Linked DNA regions of Saccharomyces cerevisiae S288C. The protein of the gene in region 1 interacts with the protein of each later gene in a biochemical or structural test. Each region holds a gene or a part of one and is shown in the gene's direction. Other genes may lie near its edges. The genes, in order: UBI4, VPS9, UBC1 and RPN1.

Region 1 (6,012 bases):
GGAATAAATTTCATGTTGATAAATTTCGTACTTTTTCGGGTAGCAGCGGTGAAAAATTCGTAAGGGCAATTTTAGAAAGATGCAAACTTTCCAAGAAATATTAAAGACCAAAACATAGCCAAGAAAGCCAACTAGGGAACAATGCTTTGTGCTATTAGTGGGAAAGTTCCTAGAAGGCCAGTTCTATCACCTAAATCCAGGACTATTTTTGAAAAGTCGCTCCTTGAACAGTATGTTAAAGATACGGGGAATGATCCGATAACAAATGAGCCCTTAAGCATCGAAGAAATAGTGGAAATCGTACCTAGTGCGCAACAAGCCTCACTAACAGAGTCTACAAACTCTGCTACGTTAAAAGCGAATTATTCGATTCCGAATCTGTTGACAAGTTTACAGAATGAATGGGATGCTATAATGCTCGAAAACTTTAAGTTACGATCAACTCTAGATAGTTTAACGAAAAAACTGTCGACTGTAATGTACGAAAGAGATGCTGCAAAGTTGGTCGCTGCGCAACTATTGATGGAAAAAAACGAAGATTCGAAGGATTTACCCAAATCCTCACAGCAAGCGGTAGCTATTACGAGAGAAGAATTTTTACAAGGGCTGTTACAATCTTCTAGAGACTTTGTAGCGAGGGGCAAGCTCAAAGCACCCAAATGGCCGATTTTAAAAAATTTGGAGCTATTACAGGCACAAAATTACTCCCGTAACATCAAAACATTCCCATATAAAGAGCTTAACAAATCTATGTACTATGATAAATGGGTGTGCATGTGTCGCTGTGAGGATGGTGCTTTACATTTTACCCAATTAAAAGATTCGAAAACGATTACCACAATAACTACACCAAATCCCCGTACCGGGGGAGAGCATCCAGCTATTATTTCCAGAGGGCCTTGTAATCGTTTGCTACTACTATATCCAGGTAACCAAATAACTATATTGGACTCAAAAACAAACAAAGTCCTCAGAGAAATAGAGGTAGATTCCGCCAATGAGATTATATATATGTATGGTCACAACGAGGTCAACACAGAGTACTTCATCTGGGCGGATAATAGAGGAACCATAGGATTTCAATCCTACGAGGATGATTCCCAGTATATTGTTCATTCTGCTAAATCAGATGTTGAGTACAGCAGCGGTGTCCTACATAAGGATTCATTATTATTAGCCCTTTACTCTCCGGACGGTATATTAGACGTTTACAACTTGTCATCACCTGACCAGGCAAGCTCTAGATTCCCCGTAGATGAAGAAGCCAAGATAAAAGAGGTTAAATTTGCAGACAATGGGTACTGGATGGTAGTAGAGTGTGACCAAACTGTGGTTTGCTTTGACCTAAGAAAGGATGTCGGCACGCTAGCGTATCCAACTTACACAATCCCAGAATTCAAGACGGGCACCGTTACCTATGACATTGACGACTCTGGAAAGAATATGATTGCATACTCAAACGAGAGCAATTCGCTGACGATATACAAATTTGACAAGAAAACAAAAAATTGGACTAAAGACGAGGAGAGCGCCCTCTGTTTGCAAAGCGACACTGCCGATTTCACTGATATGGACGTGGTATGCGGAGATGGTGGTATTGCCGCTATTCTGAAGACAAATGATAGTTTCAATATTGTTGCATTGACACCCTAAATACGCTGACACGTTTGTACTTTCTAAATAAACCTGTGTAATAGTAGTAACATTTCCAGTAAAAATTTCATTTCCTTCTCTTTTTACATCTCTAGGACAACGCTTTAGTGAGAAAAAAAAAAAAAGAAAAAAGAATGAGAAAACGAAAATTGAGGTTATGTGTTGAATAAGCCTAGAAAGCATAAAGGTGTCAAAGAACGAGTACACATATAGTGAGGGGGTCGTGATGCCTTTGTTAGATACCTTCAAGAGTTTTATTCAATCACCGACGGAATCAAAGGTGAAACAGGCTACCAACGAGGACGAAACAAGTGGAGCAACGGGGACGCTTATGAACGAAATATCAATCTTGACCTACAGCCCCAAGACAGTACGAGAAATCATCCAGGTAATCCGGAAGCGATTGCTACTTGGGCAGAACAGAAGAAATTCTCATCGAAATTGTATCCAGGTGATGAAGACGCTGACTTTGGTCTCATATCTGATGAATAACGGGTCCAATGAATTCATCAAGTGGCTGAAAGGAAACATGATACTAATTGAGATCCTGGAGGATTTTCAGGTTCAGGATCCTCGGGATGAACGTAAGGCGGAAGATATTCAAAAGCTAAGCAGGAACGTTCTGGGGCTGCTGCAAGACGACGGGTTACTAGAAAAACAACGCAAGGATGTAATACAATTCCGCTCAAGCATATCGACTCCGGGCAGGAAGTCCACGGACAATAGCCATTTGAAGCTGGAGGAAATGAGAAGCGAGCTCACGCGACAAAGCTTAGAAAAGAAAGCAAAGCCTCCCACCACCAGCACTAGCTTAGATTTCCAGAGACAACGGACAAGGAATACGCACGAATATGCCCGATTCTCTTTGGATCCCCTGGCCGAAGAAGACAGTGAAGATACGCCCGGCGTGGCGGGTGGAATAAGCAAGCTCTCATTTAGACCCAAGTCTTCAAATAACCCGTTCAGATGATTTTAGAGTCTTCCTTGACCAATCATCTTATTCGCGCAGGGCAACCCATGATAGGAAATGTCCCTTTAAACGAACTGTGGGAAATCCTGCAAAAGTGATGAAAGTGACGTTTTATGAAAAGAAAGTGAAAAAGTTCTTGTTTGACAATATTCTATTCCGAAAAGTCTTTGTGGTCAGTATTGTTTCTAGAACGTTCTAGAATAATCCTGGATAAACCAATTTCGGTACCAAAAAAAAAAATAGCCGCCCAGTGGAGCATCACACAGCCGTACATCCGGCCACACACGGTGGTTACCCCACTTCGTTTCTTTTTTCAGGGGCGATGCCACTTATCAGTTGTTTTTAGAATTCAGTGTCATTTGAGGGCGGTTCCTCCTTTTGGGGGTATATATAGAGAGGCTCCGGGTTTTGCCACCTTTGAATTCGCCTGCTTATCTTTCTTCTTCCGAAAGTGCTACTTCAGAAAGAGCAAGAACTGTACGGATAAGGATAAGTATATCTTCTATCTACTACAATACGACAAGAACTCTCGAACTCTCCCTCCCACTTTACTTTAACTAATAGATTATGCAGATTTTCGTCAAGACTTTGACCGGTAAAACCATAACATTGGAAGTTGAATCTTCCGATACCATCGACAACGTTAAGTCGAAAATTCAAGACAAGGAAGGTATCCCTCCAGATCAACAAAGATTGATCTTTGCCGGTAAGCAGCTAGAAGACGGTAGAACGCTGTCTGATTACAACATTCAGAAGGAGTCCACCTTACATCTTGTGCTAAGGCTAAGAGGTGGTATGCAGATCTTTGTTAAGACTTTGACCGGTAAAACCATCACTTTAGAGGTTGAATCCTCCGACACGATCGATAACGTTAAGTCGAAAATCCAGGACAAGGAAGGTATCCCTCCGGATCAACAGAGGTTGATCTTTGCCGGTAAGCAGCTAGAAGATGGTAGAACCTTGTCTGACTACAACATCCAAAAGGAATCTACTCTTCACTTGGTGTTGAGACTGAGAGGTGGTATGCAAATTTTTGTCAAGACACTGACAGGTAAGACTATAACCCTAGAGGTTGAATCTTCTGACACTATCGACAACGTTAAGTCGAAAATTCAAGACAAGGAAGGTATTCCTCCAGATCAACAAAGATTGATTTTTGCTGGTAAGCAACTGGAAGACGGTAGAACGCTGTCTGATTATAACATTCAGAAAGAGTCTACGTTGCATTTGGTGTTGAGATTGAGAGGTGGTATGCAAATTTTCGTCAAAACTCTAACAGGGAAGACTATAACCCTAGAGGTTGAATCTTCCGACACTATTGACAACGTCAAAAGTAAAATTCAAGATAAAGAAGGTATCCCTCCGGATCAACAGAGATTGATTTTTGCTGGTAAGCAACTAGAAGATGGTAGAACCTTGTCTGACTACAACATCCAAAAGGAATCTACTCTTCACTTGGTGTTGAGACTGAGAGGTGGTATGCAAATTTTTGTCAAGACACTGACAGGTAAGACTATAACCCTAGAGGTTGAATCTTCTGACACTATTGACAACGTTAAGTCGAAAATTCAAGACAAGGAAGGTATTCCTCCAGACCAGCAAAGATTGATTTTTGCCGGTAAGCAACTAGAAGATGGTAGAACGCTGTCGGACTACAATATTCAAAAGGAGTCCACTCTTCACCTTGTCTTGAGGTTGAGGGGTGGTAACTGATCAGTCCTCGCAATATTTTCATTATGTCAATATATATATGTTTACTCTCCTTTTTTCTTTTTGGTTTTTTTTTTTTTTTGATAAATACTCCATAGAACACTAAATAAATTGTTCAACTGTGTTATTGTCTTTATTCATGTTGGTTTTCAAGAGCTTGGATTTTTGAATCGTCTTATACTATGACGTTCACTATTTTCGCGAAGCCGGGTAATACCATTAGCTATTTTGATAGAAAGGGATTTTTATTAGGGAATATAAACCACCTTTATAGTGTCCTATCATGTTTCAATCTCCAGTAAACGCACATAAGCCGACCAATTGAGTCAACCTTTTAACTCTATTTAATTTGATACGGATAGAATATTGTGACTACCAAAAGGGAAAAGGCAGAAAAAAGGAAAATTAAGAACAGTTAAATGTTAGAGTCTTTAGCTGCTAATTTGCTAAACCGATTGCTAGGCTCATATGTGGAAAATTTCGACCCTAATCAATTAAATGTCGGCATATGGAGTGGTGATGTGAAGTTAAAAAACTTAAAACTAAGAAAAGACTGTTTGGACTCATTAAATTTACCCATAGATGTGAAATCAGGGATACTGGGTGATTTGGTCTTAACGGTCCCATGGTCAAGTTTAAAGAATAAGCCCGTGAAAATCATTATCGAGGACTGTTATTTATTATGCTCACCACGTTCAGAAGATCACGAAAATGATGAGGAGATGATAAAGAGAGCTTTTCGGTTGAAGATGAGGAAGGTAAGTGAATGGGAACTGACAAATCAGGCTCGCATACTGAGTACCCAATCAGAGAACAAAACCTCTTCTTCTTCTTCAGAAAAAAATAACGCCGGGTTTATGCAGTCTTTGACTACAAAGATCATAGACAATTTACAAGTTACCATAAAAAATATCCATTTAAGGTACGAGGACATGGACGGAATCTTCACTACAGGCCCATCTTCCGTTGGATTAACTTTGAACGAGCTATCAGCTGTATCTACAGATTCCAACTGGGCTCCAAGTTTCATTGATATTACACAGAATATCACGCATAAACTATTGACTTTAAATTCACTCTGTTTGTATTGGAATACAGACTCTCCGCCCTTGATTTCTGATGATGATCAAGATAGAAGCCTGGAAAATTTTGTAAGGGGTTTCAAAGATATGATTGCATCGAAAAATTCCACTGCCCCCAAGCATCAATACATTTTGAAACCGGTTAGCGGGCTAGGGAAGCTTAGTATCAACAAGCTGGGTTCCACGGAGGAACAACCTCACATTGACTTGCAAATGTTTTATGATGAATTTGGTTTAGAATTAGATGATACAGAATATAATGATATCTTGCATGTCCTCTCCAGTATACAGTTAAGACAAATTACCAAAAAGTTTAAGAAAGCAAGACCATCCTTCGCAGTTAGTGAAAACCCGACAGAATGGTTTAAATACATTGCTGCTTGTGTTATTAATGAAATTCATGAAAAAAACAAAATGTGGACTTGGGAAAGCATGAAGGAGAAATGTGAACAACGGAGGTTGTACACAAAATTATGGGTTGAAAAGTTAAAGTTAAAAAATTTAGAAGCTCCGCTACGTGACCCCATTCAGGAGGCTCAATTATCTGAATTGCATAAAGATTTAACGTATGATGAAATTATTCTCTTCAGATCTGTC
Region 2 (6,161 bases), on another chromosome or scaffold:
TTCATAGTAGACGATAACAACTCTGAAGATACCCTTAATGACATTACAAAACTATGTATGTTCAACGGATTTACTCTACTTTTAGCATTTAATTTTGAACAAGCTGCAAAATATATTGAATATTTGAATTTATGAACAATTCCTATTTTCTTTTAATAAATCTGTTCCATGCTTATTACCATCCTTTGTCATTTTAGCGCTTTTAGCACCGAATTGAATGGCCCTTTTTGGTTCTGATGATATTCCATCCAACTTCAAATACTGCGAGGCAACTTTTCGAAGGATTAATTTGTTAACCTTGAAATTAATGGGAATTTCTGCTGTAGATAACTTTATAACATATTCATCTAAAAATGGGTATCTCACCTCCACGCCATTATGAGCTATCACTTTATCATCACGATTCAGGTTGCGATCATAAATGTTGTTTATTTGCCTTGTAAGTTCCTCCACAAGTTCATGGGGTGGTTTGTTGGCAAACTTGTGATATCCACCGTAGAGTTCGTCTGCTCCCAGTCCGCTGAATAACACTATCCCATGGCGCTGATATGGCGTTCTTTCCCCATTCAGAGAAGTTAAGAAACCTCTACCTCTCGACGCAAAAAAAAAAGCAATGGCTATAGACAAGTCCATTTCAGTCTGTTTAGGATACATTAAATTGATAACAAATGGCTTCCATTTTAAATACTCATCATAAGGAACGTCAACTTCAACCAGTTTGATATCAACATTAGGATATAAGTTTTGTAAAGTCTTTGCACTGTTAATGGACAGTTTTCTATCAGGTGTATCACTGGGAAAAAGACCAGTCCTGGGGTTTTCGAAGGATACATTTAGAAGCTCTATAACTGGTTTTCCACATTTATAATCATTTTCTTGCAACACCTCGCAGATCAACGCTACTATTACTGAACAATCAATTCCTCCTGAGAATAGTACCGCAATAGGAGAGTTTTCAATATGCCTGGGATGTATGGACTCTACCCTTTTTTTTACAGAATCACGTAGCACAGCATATAAATTTTTAGACACCTCTGACAATGATGTGAAATTCAGATCTATCTCTGATGTCACTTCGTATGGAAGATGTGACCTCTGATTGGAATTTAACAACTTAGTTCGTGTATCATATTCATAAATAACTCCACCTATACAATCTTGAAAGGACCCAGCAGACCCCGTTACACTAGCGACGTACAATTCGTTGTCTGGAGTGACCGAATAAGACAAACTTCGCCTGCCAATTGGATCTCTGCCGAAATAGAGTTTGGATGAGTTCACGTCATATATAGTATAAGCATACTCGCCTTCCAGTGATTTTATAACATCAATAACGCCCATACCCTCTTTCAAATTCTGCAACATAGAAGCAATATAAAGACTATCATTATCACCCTGCGATATCTCTTTATTGTATAACTCACCATTGAATTGTAGGAAATATCTGTCATCCACGTTAATACTCTGTTTCGTGAAAGGCTGCCTCAAAGATAAAACAGAAGAAAACCAACTTATTCGATAAGCTTTGACAGCTCGAAGAGAGGAGTAGTTTGGACCTCTTGCGGCTATGTACGGAATGATTTTGTTGAAAATCGACGATTCATTGGTACATGTTGTATCTCCAAATTCAGTTCCTTCTGGAAATTCGATTAACTCATCATTCAGGTAGTTATTGTTTGGACAATAATGCAATAGAATCCCGCACATGTCTCATAGTAATGCCAGATGCTCAAGGCTTTACTAAATCTGGAACTTTCCGATGCCTTAATATTTTTCACTTTTCTTTCTTTTTTATTATTTTTTTCGCGAATGGGCTATATCAAGCTGCCGGTACTTGATGTAATGACACATAACATTGAAAAGTTCTACATCCAACGGGCTTGAGTTTCTCTTCATCAAACAACAAAGAACAGGAATCAACAGCCATGACTGATGATGAAAAGAGGGAGATATTGAAAGAATTTGATCCTTTCAGCCAATTGGAACAGGCAAATGGCAACCCAGATAAAGATGTGAAGTTTAAAAAGGATGATCCTAATAGGGCAGCGGCAGAAGAAACTAATAGGGACATATCCGCGCAGGACAAAGGAGATGAGGAGCCATTTTATGACTTTCAAATATTCATTAAGCAGCTTCAGACTCCTGGTGCAGATCCTCTGGTTAAATATACGAAATCATTCTTACGTAACTTCTTGGCGCAAAGACTTCTATGGACGGTCAGCGAAGAAATAAAACTCATCAGTGACTTTAAGACCTTCATTTACGATAAATTCACTCTTTACGAGCCTTTCCGAAGTCTTGACAATTCCAAGATGAGAAATGCCAAGGAAGGTATGGAAAAGTTAATAATGGGGAAACTATATTCTCGCTGTTTTTCACCAAGTCTTTATGAAATTCTGCAGAAACCATTAGACGATGAGCATATGAAAGATTTAACCAACGATGACACATTACTAGAAAAGATTAGGCATTATAGATTCATAAGCCCCATTATGTTAGATATTCCTGATACTATGCCGAATGCCAGGCTGAATAAGTTTGTCCATTTGGCCAGTAAAGAGTTGGGCAAAATAAATAGGTTTAAGTCACCAAGGGACAAGATGGTTTGCGTTTTGAATGCAAGCAAGGTTATATTTGGTTTACTAAAACATACCAAGTTGGAACAAAATGGCGCTGACAGCTTTATACCTGTGCTAATATACTGTATTTTGAAAGGACAAGTACGATATCTAGTTTCGAATGTGAACTACATCGAAAGATTCAGATCACCAGACTTCATTCGGGGCGAAGAGGAATATTACTTGAGCAGTCTTCAGGCTGCTCTTAACTTCATTATGAACTTGACTGAACGTTCTTTAACTATCGAAGATCACGAAGATTTTGAAGAGGCATACCAAAGAAATTTTAAACAACTAGCAGAAGAAAAAGAGGAAGAAGAGAAGAAAAAACAACTAGAGATTCCGGATGAGTTACAGCCAAACGGCACTTTACTGAAACCCTTAGACGAAGTTACCAATATTGTAATTTCTAAATTCAATGAACTGTTTTCTCCAATTGGAGAGCCCACACAAGAAGAGGCATTGAAATCTGAACAGAGCAATAAAGAAGAAGACGTTTCTTCGTTAATTAAGAAAATTGAAGAGAACGAACGAAAGGACACGTTGAACACATTACAGAATATGTTTCCAGATATGGACCCAAGCCTGATAGAGGATGTTTGTATTGCTAAAAAATCGCGTATTGGGCCCTGTGTTGATGCTCTACTTTCTCTGTCAGAATAATGATCTCATGCACATATTTCATGTATAGAGTAGCCTAGCAATATGTATTTGTAAAAATATAATAGTAAAAATAACTTACCGCAGGAGACATTTTTTACTGATAACGATCGCTTCTAAAACTCGTTAGTACAGGCTCGTTGTGACTTAGAATCAAATAATAGATGGGTTAGGAGGCGCACGTACCTTCCTAAGCACAGAAGGGAGCTTAAGTTGCTGTTTCAGGCGGTGACTTAACAATACATCTTAACTATCCAATGCTGACAGCTGAGTATTGCAACACAACTATCAGAGGGAGGAGTTTGCCGTTACTAATGTAGCAGGGTTTTTGAATCTAAAAGAATAAATGTACCAGTTGAATCCTAAGATTTTACTTGGAAAAATATATAAATAAGAAAACAATGCATTCAAAATTGTGCCATTGTAATGACAAGTGTTTTTGTTCAGCACCAACGCAAACTCAAAACCCCTTTTATAGAGCAAACGCCTAATTAATAAATCAAAGGGACATATGTACTACGTATATCTGAATCAAGCCTACGTAAACGGGCCTGCCAAGTAGCTATATCATTTTTTTGTTTTCTTGAGGTTTTTAGGCCCCTGCTTCCTAATCTTTGTTGCCTTCGAATCTGTTGATTGTTTAGCGCTATTACGGCCCGCTGCTTCCTCATCATCATCCGTCACCTGCTGCTCATCCTCATCCTCTTCCATCTCGTCACCCTCTTCATCCTCTTCTCTGTACCTCTTTAATGAATTTTGATTGTCTGTCTCATTGAACTGCTTCTTAGCTTCCGTAATCAACTTATTAGTAGCTATCAGTTCTTCTGCTCTCCCAAGCTTTATCGGGTCTTTACGGAGGGCAAACTTGAAATCTTCCAATCGGAGCTTATTGCGCTGAGAATTCTGGGCTGTATGGAATGCGTTAGTACAAACATCCACCAAATATCCAGATACCAATTCATCCAAACACTGCACAGTAGCTTGTAGTGGCTGCGGCACATCGCCGTAAGCGTAAAGCAAGGAACTTACATCCTTGTTAAACAGATTCGTTTTTTTCAGCTTCCTAGACATATCTTATCCAGCTCACCCTCGCCTGCCGTTACCTTTTGGATTTCATGTTGCAGTTGTTGATGAACCTTCTTTGTTATCAATGACTCTTCGCCTGCGGTTTCCGCTAGAACTCAAAAATAAATGAAAAAAAAATACACCTTGCGAAAAGCATCTCTTTTAGATTTGATGCTTTAGTGGGCAATAGTTACCGATATCAGTACCTCGAAAATTTTAAGTTGCAGATATAATGGGAATTTCCAGCAAGAATGGCCCTAAAAAAATGGGAAGGGCAAAGACGTTTACTGGGTGTTGGACGTGCAGAGGAAGAAAAGTTAAGTGTGATCTTCGGCATCCCCACTGCCAACGATGTGAAAAGTCTAATTTGCCTTGTGGCGGTTATGATATCAAACTCCGGTGGTCTAAGCCTATGCAATTTGACCCGTACGGTGTCCCAATCCCACAAAATTCTCCTGCAACTACTACGAACTTATCAGGTAGTGTCGATGAACCACAATACCAACGACGGAACATCGATTTTGTGCGCTATGATGAAGAATACGTGTATCATGAAGATATGGATGATGAGCTAACAATGCTGCATACTCCCCCAATTGAGAAAATAAGCGATAACAAGACGTGGATCATAAAGAAATTTGGGGTGTTTAAAGGAACAGATAAGATCGACAAGCAGTACGCTCCAAGGAAGAAGCGCAATAGGAAAAGAGTTGCCAAAAGCTTGGAGAGCTCAGCTTCTATTTCGTTATCTTCTTTACCATCTTCTTCAACTATTTCCTTTCCAATTAGACATATTGAAGACAAGTTGAGAAATAAAGGGCATGTAAAGACAGGTATTCTCTCTGCTAATGATGGTGTTCCACCAACACCAAATCTTTTAGATTATGACTGGAACAATCTGAATATAACAGGTTACGAATGGATCTCGAGTGAACTCAGAGATGATGCATTATTGTCAGCGGTGACCTTACAGGGACATCACTTAGGACACACACAGCCACAAGAAATCTCATTAGAGGAAAACTCTAATGTCGTGAGTGGGGAAGAGCATGTGAATGCCAAAGAACATGGATGTGCCTTTGAGGCTGATAATCAAGGTTCATCAACTTTACCTAATAAAGCAGCCAGTGCCAATGATAAACTTTACCAGCAAAACTTGAAGTTACTCTTCCAGAAAAACTCTTCGAACAGTGAGGAACCAGACCCTCAAGCATTGATCGACGATGTGTTCGTCAATATTGAACCAAGATCTCTGCCCGCATCTGATCTGAATAAAATAACTCTAGCTCCTCCAAATGAAGAATCACGCATGCCTAAGTCCATGTTAGAACTCACATCCTATTCCAGTGACCTACCACCTGAATTGGTAGATATTATACCCAAAACAGACCTTACCGTACATGGTTTAGCGAGATTTCTTTTAAATCATTATTTTAATAATGTTGCAGATAAAATGACAGTGGTCGTGCTCGAAAAGAACCCATGGAAAACATTATACTTCCCCAGAGCCTTGATGGCATTAGGCGATTTAGCGGGTTTGGGACAATCCTCCAACTCGAGGAATGCGTTGTTGAATGCTCTTCTTGCTGTCTCTTGCTTCCACTTGCAAAGCAAGTACCCAAGGAACTACAAACTACAAAAATACTTTCTGGGCCTAGGTATCGAATTGAGAAATCAAGCCTCGAACTTTCTAAGATTATGTTTGAACACAAAATCAAGCATACCTGAGAAATATAAAGACGTACTAACTGCGATCTTATCTATGAACTCTATTGATGTTGTATGGGGGACGATGGCAGATTGCCAGGATCACTTGGC
Region 3 (5,491 bases), on another chromosome or scaffold:
CTTGGAAAACGGTCCAACTCATGCGCCGGTTCCAATTCCTTTCAGTTTACAGCACGCCGCTGAACCTCCTGTGGAAAAGAGACCTCACGATGATGATGGATCTTCGGAAAAGAAGAAGAAGAAGAAGAAGAAGGATAAGAAGAAGGACAAATCCAACTCTTCTATTTGATGGACGGACAAACTCGTTACTATTACTCTACTGTCTTTCTAAAATAAATATAATAATAAAAAAAGGAATAAAATATAGCAGCATGGGCTTGCTTTGCCCATAGTGTATGCACATATATATATATATATATGTATCTATCCCTCTCCTCTTGTAACAGTATATCTTCCTTTTCATTTTCGTTGTGTATATGTATGTATATAGTTCTAAATTTGCGATTATACCTTTTCAAACCTCTCAATGTTGTATTGTGCTAAAACTATGTACATTTTAGAGAAAAAGAAGGAAGCAAAACAAATACATAATATATACAGGGGGGCCGTTCTTTTTGTTTTTGAACATGTATTAAAGAGTGCTCAATAATTGATCTACAATATCAAATTTCTTCTTTGGTGCATCTTCAGGGCGTTTCCAGTGTTCAGGAAACTCATAATCCCGCTTCTTTTTACGTAAACTCTTAGCTATAGTATGCCTTGTGTCAAGGGGAACATCGCTAAAATCGTCCTCCGTCAAATCTTTTGACTCCGCTAACAGCCTTTGAAGAATATCATGCAAATAACGTGCATTTTGTGATGCATGCTCAAATTTGTCACTAGACATTTTAAAAATATCTGTAGTATGATCATAACGCGACCTGGCTAATATTCTGAACTTATGTAATGATTTTTCCTCCAGGCCCAATTCCTTGGTTTTAACGCTTAATACAACCTTCCTCGAATTGGGATGCTCTTCGCCAACATAACTAGTGTATCTATAAGTGACCGGATGACTTTCTGGAGATGGTCTCTTGTATTCCTGGCGATATTGAGCTAATAGCGGTAACTCATATGCGGCTAATCGATTATAGAACCTTTGTTCACGATGTTGGGCAACCAATTCCTGAGCTTGCGATGGCAATTCATCAAACATAAACGGTCTAAGACTGTTATCGCGATTCACGTTTCCACCTTTTATATCAATAGCGCCTTGTTCTCCTCTGTGATATAGCTTTTTAATATCGTTAACAGGTACATTTGAGTACTCAGAAGTGGTTAATAAGGCATTCAGTTCGTCTTTGTTAGGTTTATACTCTGAACCCAATCTAGCCATTCTCTCCCAATATAACTCTAAAATTCTTTGAGGAGGTAAACCCTTCCATTTTTCGGGATGCATATAGAGATCTGCTGAAAAAGCTGGTCCTTCTCTCACAGTTTTAGCTTCATTACCAGCATCACTGTTCAAACATCTAGACATTGTCAAAACCCTTTTCTGGGTGCTCCACAAATTACCCCGAGAGACTTTCCATAACCCCAATGGTACTTTCATCTTCCTAAGAATAGTATTTTAGTAGTGTCAAATGTTTCGGTAACTCTACTGCCTTGTTCACAGATCGAAATATACTCAGAATCAGTTACAGAAAAGGTCCCATTTAGCGTAATTTCTTAGCGGAACTCATTAAAGAGCTCCGACGTGCAACGCGATAAAGGTTCGCCGACGACAACAAAACAATGGCAGGCAGTCATTAAATGAACGCCATCAAATGAAATATTCGTGGTAGCGATTACAATAAGGAAGTTGGAAAAACATAACAAAGACGGAGCGACGAGAAGTATTGGACAGGACATATGCCTAGACATGGAAGAAGAGGAAAACTGCCAAAAGGCGAGAAACTTCCTAAAAAGGAGGGAGGCGACAATACTCCGTCAAAGCTTTTATCGTCAATGCTTAAAACTTTAGATTTGACCTTCGAGCGTGATATTGGAATGCTCAATGGCAAAAGTGTTAGGTCCATACCCAATAAAAAAACTTTACTTGAATTGCAAAGTCAATTGGATAGTCTCAATGAAATACTGGGTACAATTGCCCGAGGTGATCAAGAGACCATTGAAGCGCTTCGGAAAATAAGAGACAGTAAAAATGAGAAGCAAGCAAACGATGAAAAGCAGGAAACTTCAAATGCAGACGGGCAGCACGAAAGTTCTACTGCTACTGAAGAAACGAATATAATTGATAAAGGGGTACAAAGCCCACCAAAACCTCCTCCTTCTAATGAAATCTCCGGCACAATTGAGAACGATGTAGAAAGCATCAAACAAGCGGCTGATAATATGGCTAAAGAAGAAATTAATGAAGACAAAGATTTACAAGTTCATAGAGATCAACCCAGAGAAAAGAGGCCGTTCGATTCTGAAACTGAAAATAGGGCCACTGAAAATGAAAACACACAGAGGCCAGACAATAAGAAGCAAAAAATTGACGTTGACAAAATGGAAAACGATCCAACTGTTAAAAATCCAAAATCAGAATTTGTAGTATCGCAAACGTTACCTCGAGCAGCAGCAGCACTCGGCTTATTCAATGAAGAGGGACTAGAAAGTACAGGAGAAGACTTCCTAAAAAAAAAATACAATGTAGCTAGTTATCCAACAAATGATTTGAAAGATCTGTTACCAGGTGAATTACCGGATATGGACTTTTCGCATCCTAAACCAACCAACCAAATTCAATTCAATACCTTTCTAGCATTTGTGGAAAATTTTTTCAAAGATCTTAGTGATGACAACTTAAAGTTTTTGAAGATGAAATATATTATACCCGATAGCTTGCAATTTGACAAAACTTATGACCCTGAGGTAAACCCGTTTATTATACCGAAACTAGGCCCTTTATACACAGATGTTTGGTTCAAAGATGAAAACGACAAAAATTCTGCCTATAAAAAACCTTCACCATATTCAAACGATGCATCTACTATACTACCAAAAAAAAGTGCCAACGAACTTGATGATAATGCTTTGGAATCGGGCAGTATATCGTGTGGGCCCTTATTATCTAGGCTGTTGAGTGCTGTATTAAAAGATGACAATGACAAATCAGAATTGCAATCTTCTAAAATAATACGGGATGGCGGACTACCGAGAACCGGAGGGGAAGACGATATACAATCGTTTAGAAACAACAACAATGATACTGTAGACATGACATTATCTCAGGAGAACGGGCCCAGTGTTCAAACACCTGACAATGACATTGATGAGGAAGCATCTTTCCAAGCAAAACTGGCAGAAAATAAAGGCAGTAATGGCGGTACTACAAGTACGTTACCCCAACAAATTGGGTGGATAACAAATGGAATTAACCTGGACTATCCAACATTCGAAGAACGATTGAAAAGAGAACTAAAGTATGTAGGGATATACATGAATTTGCCTAAGGATGAGAACAACCCTAACTCAGATGACCCCGATTGGGTCACCGGTAGAGAAGACGACGAAATAAGCGCAGAGTTAAGAGAATTGCAAGGCACTTTAAAACAAGTGACCAAGAAAAACCAAAAGAGGAAAGCCCAATTGATTCCACTAGTGGAAAGACAACTAGCATGGCAGGAATACTCATCTATTTTAGAAGATTTAGACAAACAAATCGACCAGGCTTATGTCAAACGTATTCGCGTACCCAAGAAAAGAAAGAAGCATCATACAGCAGCTTCAAATAATGTGAACACAGGAACCACGTCTCAAATAGCACAACAAAAGGCTGCAAACTCAAGTTTAAAATCCCTTCTGGATAAAAGGCAAAGGTGGATTAATAAGATTGGTCCATTGTTTGATAAACCTGAAATTATGAAGAGAATCCCCAATGAAAGCGTATTCAAGGACATGGACCAAGAAGAAGATGAGGATGAAGCCGATGTATTTGCACAAAACACTAATAAGGACGTGGAACTAAATTAAAATATACGAACTCTAAGGAAAAATACGTAGCATAATAACGCATATAACTAACAATTTGGATAACTATCCATAAAAAAAAAAAAATAGTCACATAATACGAACATTAATATCCTTTTTTGTTACATTTTCTTCCATCTGAAATATTTGGAGGGGCAAAAACAATGAGATGACAGTTGAATGCATGAACTTCCGATCGCGGGCGTATAGGTAAAGTCAATTGAAGCAAGTGTGACGACATAAGTATCGTAATTTAGTGGTTGGATACATTAAAAAAAACAAGTGGTATATATATAAGTAGTAGTAGTAAGAAGTAAGCGATGTCTAGGGCTAAGAGAATTATGAAAGAAATCCAAGCTGTGAAGGATGATCCTGCAGCTCACATTACTCTTGAATTTGTGAGTGAATCTGATATCCACCATTTAAAAGGCACATTTTTGGGCCCACCTGGAACACCTTACGAGGGTGGCAAATTTGTCGTGGATATCGAAGTACCTATGGAGTATCCATTCAAACCACCAAAGATGCAGTTCGACACAAAAGTATACCATCCAAATATATCATCAGTGACAGGTGCCATTTGTTTAGATATTCTTAAGAATGCATGGTCGCCAGTGATAACACTAAAGTCTGCATTGATTTCGCTACAGGCGCTACTACAATCTCCAGAGCCTAACGATCCTCAAGATGCAGAAGTAGCACAACACTATTTACGGGATAGAGAATCTTTTAATAAGACTGCTGCACTATGGACGAGGTTATACGCCAGTGAAACTTCCAATGGTCAAAAAGGCAATGTAGAGGAGTCTGATTTATATGGGATTGACCACGATCTGATTGACGAGTTTGAATCTCAAGGTTTTGAAAAGGACAAGATTGTGGAAGTGTTGAGACGATTAGGCGTCAAGTCCTTAGACCCCAATGACAACAACACAGCCAACCGTATCATCGAGGAATTGTTGAAGTGAATAGATAAAAAAAAAACGCACCAAGTAAGTAAGTAAATAAAGAATAAATAAACTATATGAGTAAAACACCAAGCGAGGATGTTTCATTGTGCATCCGTGTTCTTGATGATCACATAACTGTAAAAGAATAATACGGCACGTTAAATGTTATTTTAGAATATATAAACACCTTATGTGCCATAAGCATTGAGCCAATCGCTGCTGTTTTTTTTATTCCGGGGCACCTTCGGAAGAACACAGGCGCAATTTAGTTATATAAGGAGAAGCCCTCGAGCGATCAGGGGACCGACTGCGGATCGCTTTAAGGCAAAGATAGAAGGATAAATATCTGCTTTGGAAGATAGTCGTATCTAATTTCCCATTCTGTTGTTTTCTTGATCTTTCCTACGCTTTCGACTTTCTTCCTACGCGCTTTATAATAGCTATGATGTTGCCAAGATCCATGAAATTTATGACTGGAAGGAGAATTTTCCATACTGCCACAGTAAGGGCCTTCCAGTCTACCGCTAAGAAGAGCTTAACTATCCCATTTTTGCCCGTATTACCCCAGAAACCAGGTGGTGTTAGGGGCACTCCCAATGATGCCTACGTCCCCCCCCCTGAGAATAAATTAGAGGGCTCATACCACTGGTATATGGAAAAAATCT
Region 4 (5,209 bases), on another chromosome or scaffold:
ACTGAAGTTACATGGGTAGGAAATGGAAACGTTTTAGTTAAAACTACCGATCGATCCTCGGACATATTGACTGTGTTTTTGATAGATACAATTGCAAAGACTTCAAACGTGGTAAGGAACGAAAGTTCTAACGGAGGATGGTGGGAGATTACTCATAATACTCTGTTTATTCCGGCAAATGAAACATTTGATAGGCCTCATAATGGTTATGTTGATATTCTTCCGATTGGTGGTTACAATCATTTGGCTTATTTCGAAAATAGTAATAGTTCACACTATAAAACATTGACAGAGGGGAAATGGGAAGTGGTGAATGGCCCACTTGCCTTTGATTCAATGGAAAATCGTCTTTACTTCATTTCTACACGAAAGAGTTCAACCGAACGCCACGTTTACTACATAGATTTACGGTCACCAAATGAAATTATTGAAGTTACTGATACTTCTGAGGATGGTGTCTATGATGTGTCCTTTTCTTCTGGTAGAAGGTTTGGTTTACTCACCTATAAAGGACCAAAAGTTCCATATCAAAAAATTGTGGACTTCCATTCTCGTAAAGCAGAAAAATGCGACAAAGGTAATGTTTTAGGCAAATCACTATACCATTTGGAAAAGAACGAAGTACTTACCAAAATTTTAGAAGATTATGCGGTACCCAGAAAATCATTCAGGGAATTGAACCTAGGAAAGGACGAATTTGGAAAGGATATACTAGTGAACTCGTATGAAATCCTACCAAATGATTTCGATGAAACGTTAAGTGACCACTATCCTGTATTTTTCTTTGCATATGGGGGACCGAATTCTCAACAAGTTGTCAAAACGTTTTCCGTAGGATTTAATGAAGTGGTAGCTTCACAATTAAACGCAATTGTAGTTGTTGTTGACGGTCGTGGTACTGGCTTCAAAGGTCAAGACTTTAGATCCCTTGTTCGCGATAGGCTCGGTGATTACGAGGCCCGCGACCAAATATCTGCGGCTTCCTTATATGGTTCTTTAACTTTTGTTGATCCGCAAAAGATTTCCTTATTTGGTTGGTCATACGGGGGGTACCTGACACTAAAAACTTTGGAGAAAGATGGCGGAAGACATTTCAAATACGGGATGTCAGTTGCGCCAGTAACCGACTGGAGATTTTACGATTCTGTTTATACTGAGAGGTACATGCATACTCCTCAAGAAAACTTTGATGGATACGTAGAATCAAGCGTTCATAATGTCACTGCTTTGGCACAAGCAAATAGATTTTTGTTGATGCACGGAACAGGAGATGATAACGTTCACTTTCAAAATTCCCTAAAGTTTCTGGACCTTTTGGATCTAAATGGTGTGGAAAATTATGACGTCCACGTCTTTCCTGACTCAGATCATAGTATAAGATACCATAATGCGAATGTAATCGTTTTTGACAAGCTATTGGATTGGGCAAAGCGTGCTTTCGATGGGCAATTTGTCAAATGAGTTGACTATTTACAGCTCATCTCATAGAGACATTCATAAAACATTTTCATATTTACATACTATGTATATATAAAATTGGTAATATAACAGATTAATGTTCGTAGAAGATGATGTGTTTTACGGTGGCAAAAGGCGAGCACGAAATTTGGCAAAGGGTATAAGTAATTAAGCAAATTTGGTCAAATCTATAATTCTTCACTAACAAACTTGCCCATTGGTCTACATAAGGTGCGATTCGTATAAATTTGGAAGACAATTGCAAGAAAATGGTAGACGAAAGTGATAAGAAACAACAGACTATTGATGAACAATCGCAGATAAGTCCTGAAAAGCAGACACCAAATAAGAAGGATAAAAAAAAGGAGGAAGAGGAGCAGCTATCCGAAGAAGATGCAAAGCTTAAAACAGATTTAGAGCTATTGGTTGAAAGGCTGAAAGAAGACGATTCATCTTTATATGAAGCGTCTTTGAATGCCTTAAAGGAATCGATCAAAAATTCTACGAGTTCTATGACCGCCGTTCCCAAACCTTTGAAATTCCTTCGTCCGACATATCCAGACCTATGTTCTATCTACGACAAATGGACAGATCCAAACTTGAAATCCTCTTTAGCGGATGTCTTGTCCATTTTAGCCATGACATACTCTGAAAATGGTAAACACGATTCATTGAGATATAGATTACTCTCCGACGTTTCTGATTTTGAAGGGTGGGGACATGAGTACATCCGTCATTTAGCTTTGGAGATCGGTGAAGTATATAATGATCAAGTGGAAAAAGATGCTGAAGATGAAACATCATCTGATGGATCTAAAAGCGATGGATCTGCGGCTACTTCCGGGTTCGAATTTTCCAAGGAAGATACTCTTCGTCTATGTTTAGACATTGTCCCATACTTTTTGAAACACAACGGTGAAGAAGACGCGGTAGATTTGCTTTTGGAAATTGAATCTATTGACAAGCTACCTCAATTTGTCGATGAGAATACCTTCCAAAGAGTTTGTCAATATATGGTTGCATGTGTTCCACTTTTGCCACCTCCTGAAGACGTTGCCTTTTTAAAAACCGCATATTCTATTTATCTATCTCAGAACGAACTTACAGATGCAATTGCTTTGGCAGTTAGACTAGGGGAAGAGGATATGATCAGATCCGTTTTCGATGCTACTAGCGATCCAGTGATGCATAAACAATTAGCATATATTTTAGCCGCACAAAAGACATCGTTTGAGTATGAAGGTGTTCAGGATATAATTGGAAATGGTAAATTGTCTGAACACTTTTTATATCTTGCTAAAGAATTGAATCTAACTGGGCCAAAAGTCCCAGAAGACATTTATAAGAGCCATTTGGATAACTCTAAATCTGTGTTCTCAAGCGCCGGCCTAGATTCTGCTCAACAAAATCTAGCTTCGTCATTTGTCAACGGGTTCTTAAACTTAGGTTATTGTAACGATAAATTAATTGTGGATAATGATAATTGGGTATATAAAACCAAAGGTGACGGTATGACTTCCGCGGTAGCTAGTATTGGATCTATATACCAGTGGAATCTCGATGGTTTGCAACAACTGGATAAGTATCTCTACGTTGATGAGCCAGAAGTTAAAGCTGGTGCATTATTAGGTATTGGTATTTCCGCTTCCGGTGTGCATGATGGTGAAGTTGAACCAGCTTTGTTACTTTTGCAAGATTATGTTACTAACCCAGACACTAAAATTAGTTCAGCAGCTATTCTTGGCCTGGGTATTGCATTTGCTGGTAGCAAGAATGACGAAGTGTTGGGTTTGTTATTACCAATTGCCGCATCCACTGACTTGCCTATTGAAACTGCAGCTATGGCTTCCTTAGCTTTGGCTCATGTTTTCGTTGGTACTTGTAATGGTGACATTACAACTTCTATCATGGACAACTTTTTAGAGCGTACAGCCATCGAGTTGAAGACCGACTGGGTAAGGTTTTTGGCACTTGCTTTAGGTATTCTATACATGGGCCAAGGTGAACAGGTGGATGATGTTTTAGAAACTATTAGTGCTATTGAACATCCAATGACATCAGCTATTGAAGTATTAGTTGGTTCATGTGCTTATACTGGTACGGGTGATGTTTTGTTAATTCAAGATTTGTTACATCGTTTGACCCCTAAAAACGTAAAAGGTGAAGAAGATGCAGATGAAGAAGAAACTGCCGAAGGACAGACTAATAGCATAAGTGACTTTTTGGGTGAGCAAGTGAATGAACCTACCAAGAACGAGGAAGCTGAGATCGAAGTGGACGAAATGGAGGTTGATGCCGAAGGAGAGGAAGTTGAAGTTAAAGCAGAAATAACAGAGAAGAAGAATGGTGAGAGTTTAGAAGGTGAAGAGATAAAATCCGAAGAAAAGAAGGGAAAATCTTCCGATAAGGATGCTACTACGGACGGGAAAAATGATGATGAGGAGGAAGAAAAAGAAGCAGGCATAGTCGATGAACTTGCTTATGCAGTTTTGGGTATTGCTTTGATTGCCCTTGGTGAAGATATTGGCAAGGAAATGTCTTTACGTCATTTTGGTCATTTAATGCATTATGGTAATGAACACATCCGTCGTATGGTTCCTTTAGCGATGGGTATTGTTTCCGTTTCTGATCCACAAATGAAGGTGTTCGATACCTTAACTCGTTTTTCACATGACGCCGATTTAGAAGTTTCAATGAATTCAATTTTCGCTATGGGTCTATGTGGTGCTGGTACTAACAATGCAAGGTTAGCTCAACTATTAAGACAGTTGGCAAGTTATTATTCACGTGAACAAGACGCTTTGTTTATCACCAGATTAGCACAAGGGTTATTGCATCTTGGTAAAGGTACTATGACAATGGATGTGTTCAATGATGCACATGTTTTGAATAAGGTGACATTAGCATCAATATTAACTACCGCAGTTGGTTTAGTATCGCCAAGTTTCATGTTGAAGCATCATCAATTGTTCTACATGTTGAATGCCGGTATAAGGCCAAAGTTTATTCTAGCATTAAACGATGAGGGAGAGCCAATAAAGGTTAATGTGCGCGTTGGTCAAGCAGTGGAAACTGTCGGCCAAGCAGGCAGACCAAAAAAGATTACTGGCTGGATTACGCAATCCACTCCTGTTTTACTAAATCATGGCGAAAGAGCAGAACTAGAAACTGATGAATATATTAGTTACACAAGCCATATTGAGGGCGTAGTAATTTTAAAGAAGAACCCTGACTATCGTGAAGAGGAGTAAACTGAATAGCTTTTGGGCAATATCAACCAGAATAGGAAAAATTCAAAACCATTTTAAATAAATATATATTTATATAGTTGTACATTTTTTTCTCTTACTTAATATAATATGATTTTTAGATAATAAAAGAAAACGTGCATATATACATACACATGTATCTCAGATATCTCATTATATCTATTAGTAAATATGGATGCGCTTATCTAGCTCGTAAAAACGGAAAAGAAAAGCCTGGTTTGAGCGCTTACTGAAATTCAGAAGCTTTACCGGCCATCAATAAACCAACAATCAAACCTAATAAACCTAAAATGGACCCGAAAATTTCAATGACCAAAATTTTAACAAACAATGCGGAATCAGCAGCATCGGAAATGGCAGCAGTCGCACCGGTGATACCGACAGCGATACCACAAATCAAATTGGAAGCACCGACAGTGATACCTGCCCAGAAAAGAGAATAACCAGTGTACAGGTTTGATTTCGAGTACATGTTCTCAGCA

Evidence for each region.
Region 2: the proteins of UBI4 (region 1) and VPS9 form a complex in vitro, tested with the Saccharomyces cerevisiae proteins (6 studies listed by BioGRID).
Region 3: the proteins of UBI4 (region 1) and UBC1 form a complex in vitro, tested with the Saccharomyces cerevisiae proteins (8 studies listed by BioGRID, with this or other methods).
Region 4: the proteins of UBI4 (region 1) and RPN1 form a complex in vitro, tested with the Saccharomyces cerevisiae proteins (8 studies listed by BioGRID, with this or other methods).

What each region holds. Positions count from the first base shown.
Region 1 is NC_001144.5:62,386-68,397, reverse strand, and holds UBI4 (ubiquitin), read left to right. Parts: upstream 1-3,190; coding exon 3,191-4,336; downstream 4,337-6,012. Other genes in the region: E3 ubiquitin-protein ligase PRP19, read left to right, coding at 142-1,653; ENT4 (Ent4p), read left to right, coding at 1,880-2,623; membrane morphogenesis protein VPS13, read left to right, coding at 4,753-6,012. UniProt on the Saccharomyces cerevisiae protein: Ubiquitin exists either covalently attached to another protein, or free (unanchored).
Region 2 is NC_001145.3:75,455-81,615, reverse strand, and holds VPS9 (guanine nucleotide exchange factor VPS9), read left to right. Parts: upstream 1-1,925; coding exon 1,926-3,281; downstream 3,282-6,161. Other genes in the region: DNA repair protein RAD10, read left to right, coding at 1-135; YML096W (putative asparagine synthase), read right to left, coding at 130-1,707; TAF13 (Taf13p), read right to left, coding at 3,846-4,349; ARG81 (Arg81p), read left to right, coding at 4,576-6,161.
Region 3 is NC_001136.10:812,682-818,172, forward strand, and holds UBC1 (E2 ubiquitin-conjugating protein UBC1), read left to right. Parts: upstream 1-4,196; coding exon 4,197-4,844; downstream 4,845-5,491. Other genes in the region: HMO1 (Hmo1p), read left to right, coding at 1-169; mitochondrial 37S ribosomal protein mS35 RSM24, read right to left, coding at 512-1,471; histone acetyltransferase NGG1, read left to right, coding at 1,771-3,879; succinate dehydrogenase membrane anchor subunit SDH4, read left to right, coding at 5,269-5,491.
Region 4 is NC_001140.6:161,230-166,438, reverse strand, and holds RPN1 (proteasome regulatory particle base subunit RPN1), read left to right. Parts: upstream 1-1,727; coding exon 1,728-4,709; downstream 4,710-5,209. Other genes in the region: DAP2 (dipeptidyl aminopeptidase), read left to right, coding at 1-1,461; VMA16 (H(+)-transporting V0 sector ATPase subunit c''), read right to left, coding at 4,954-5,209.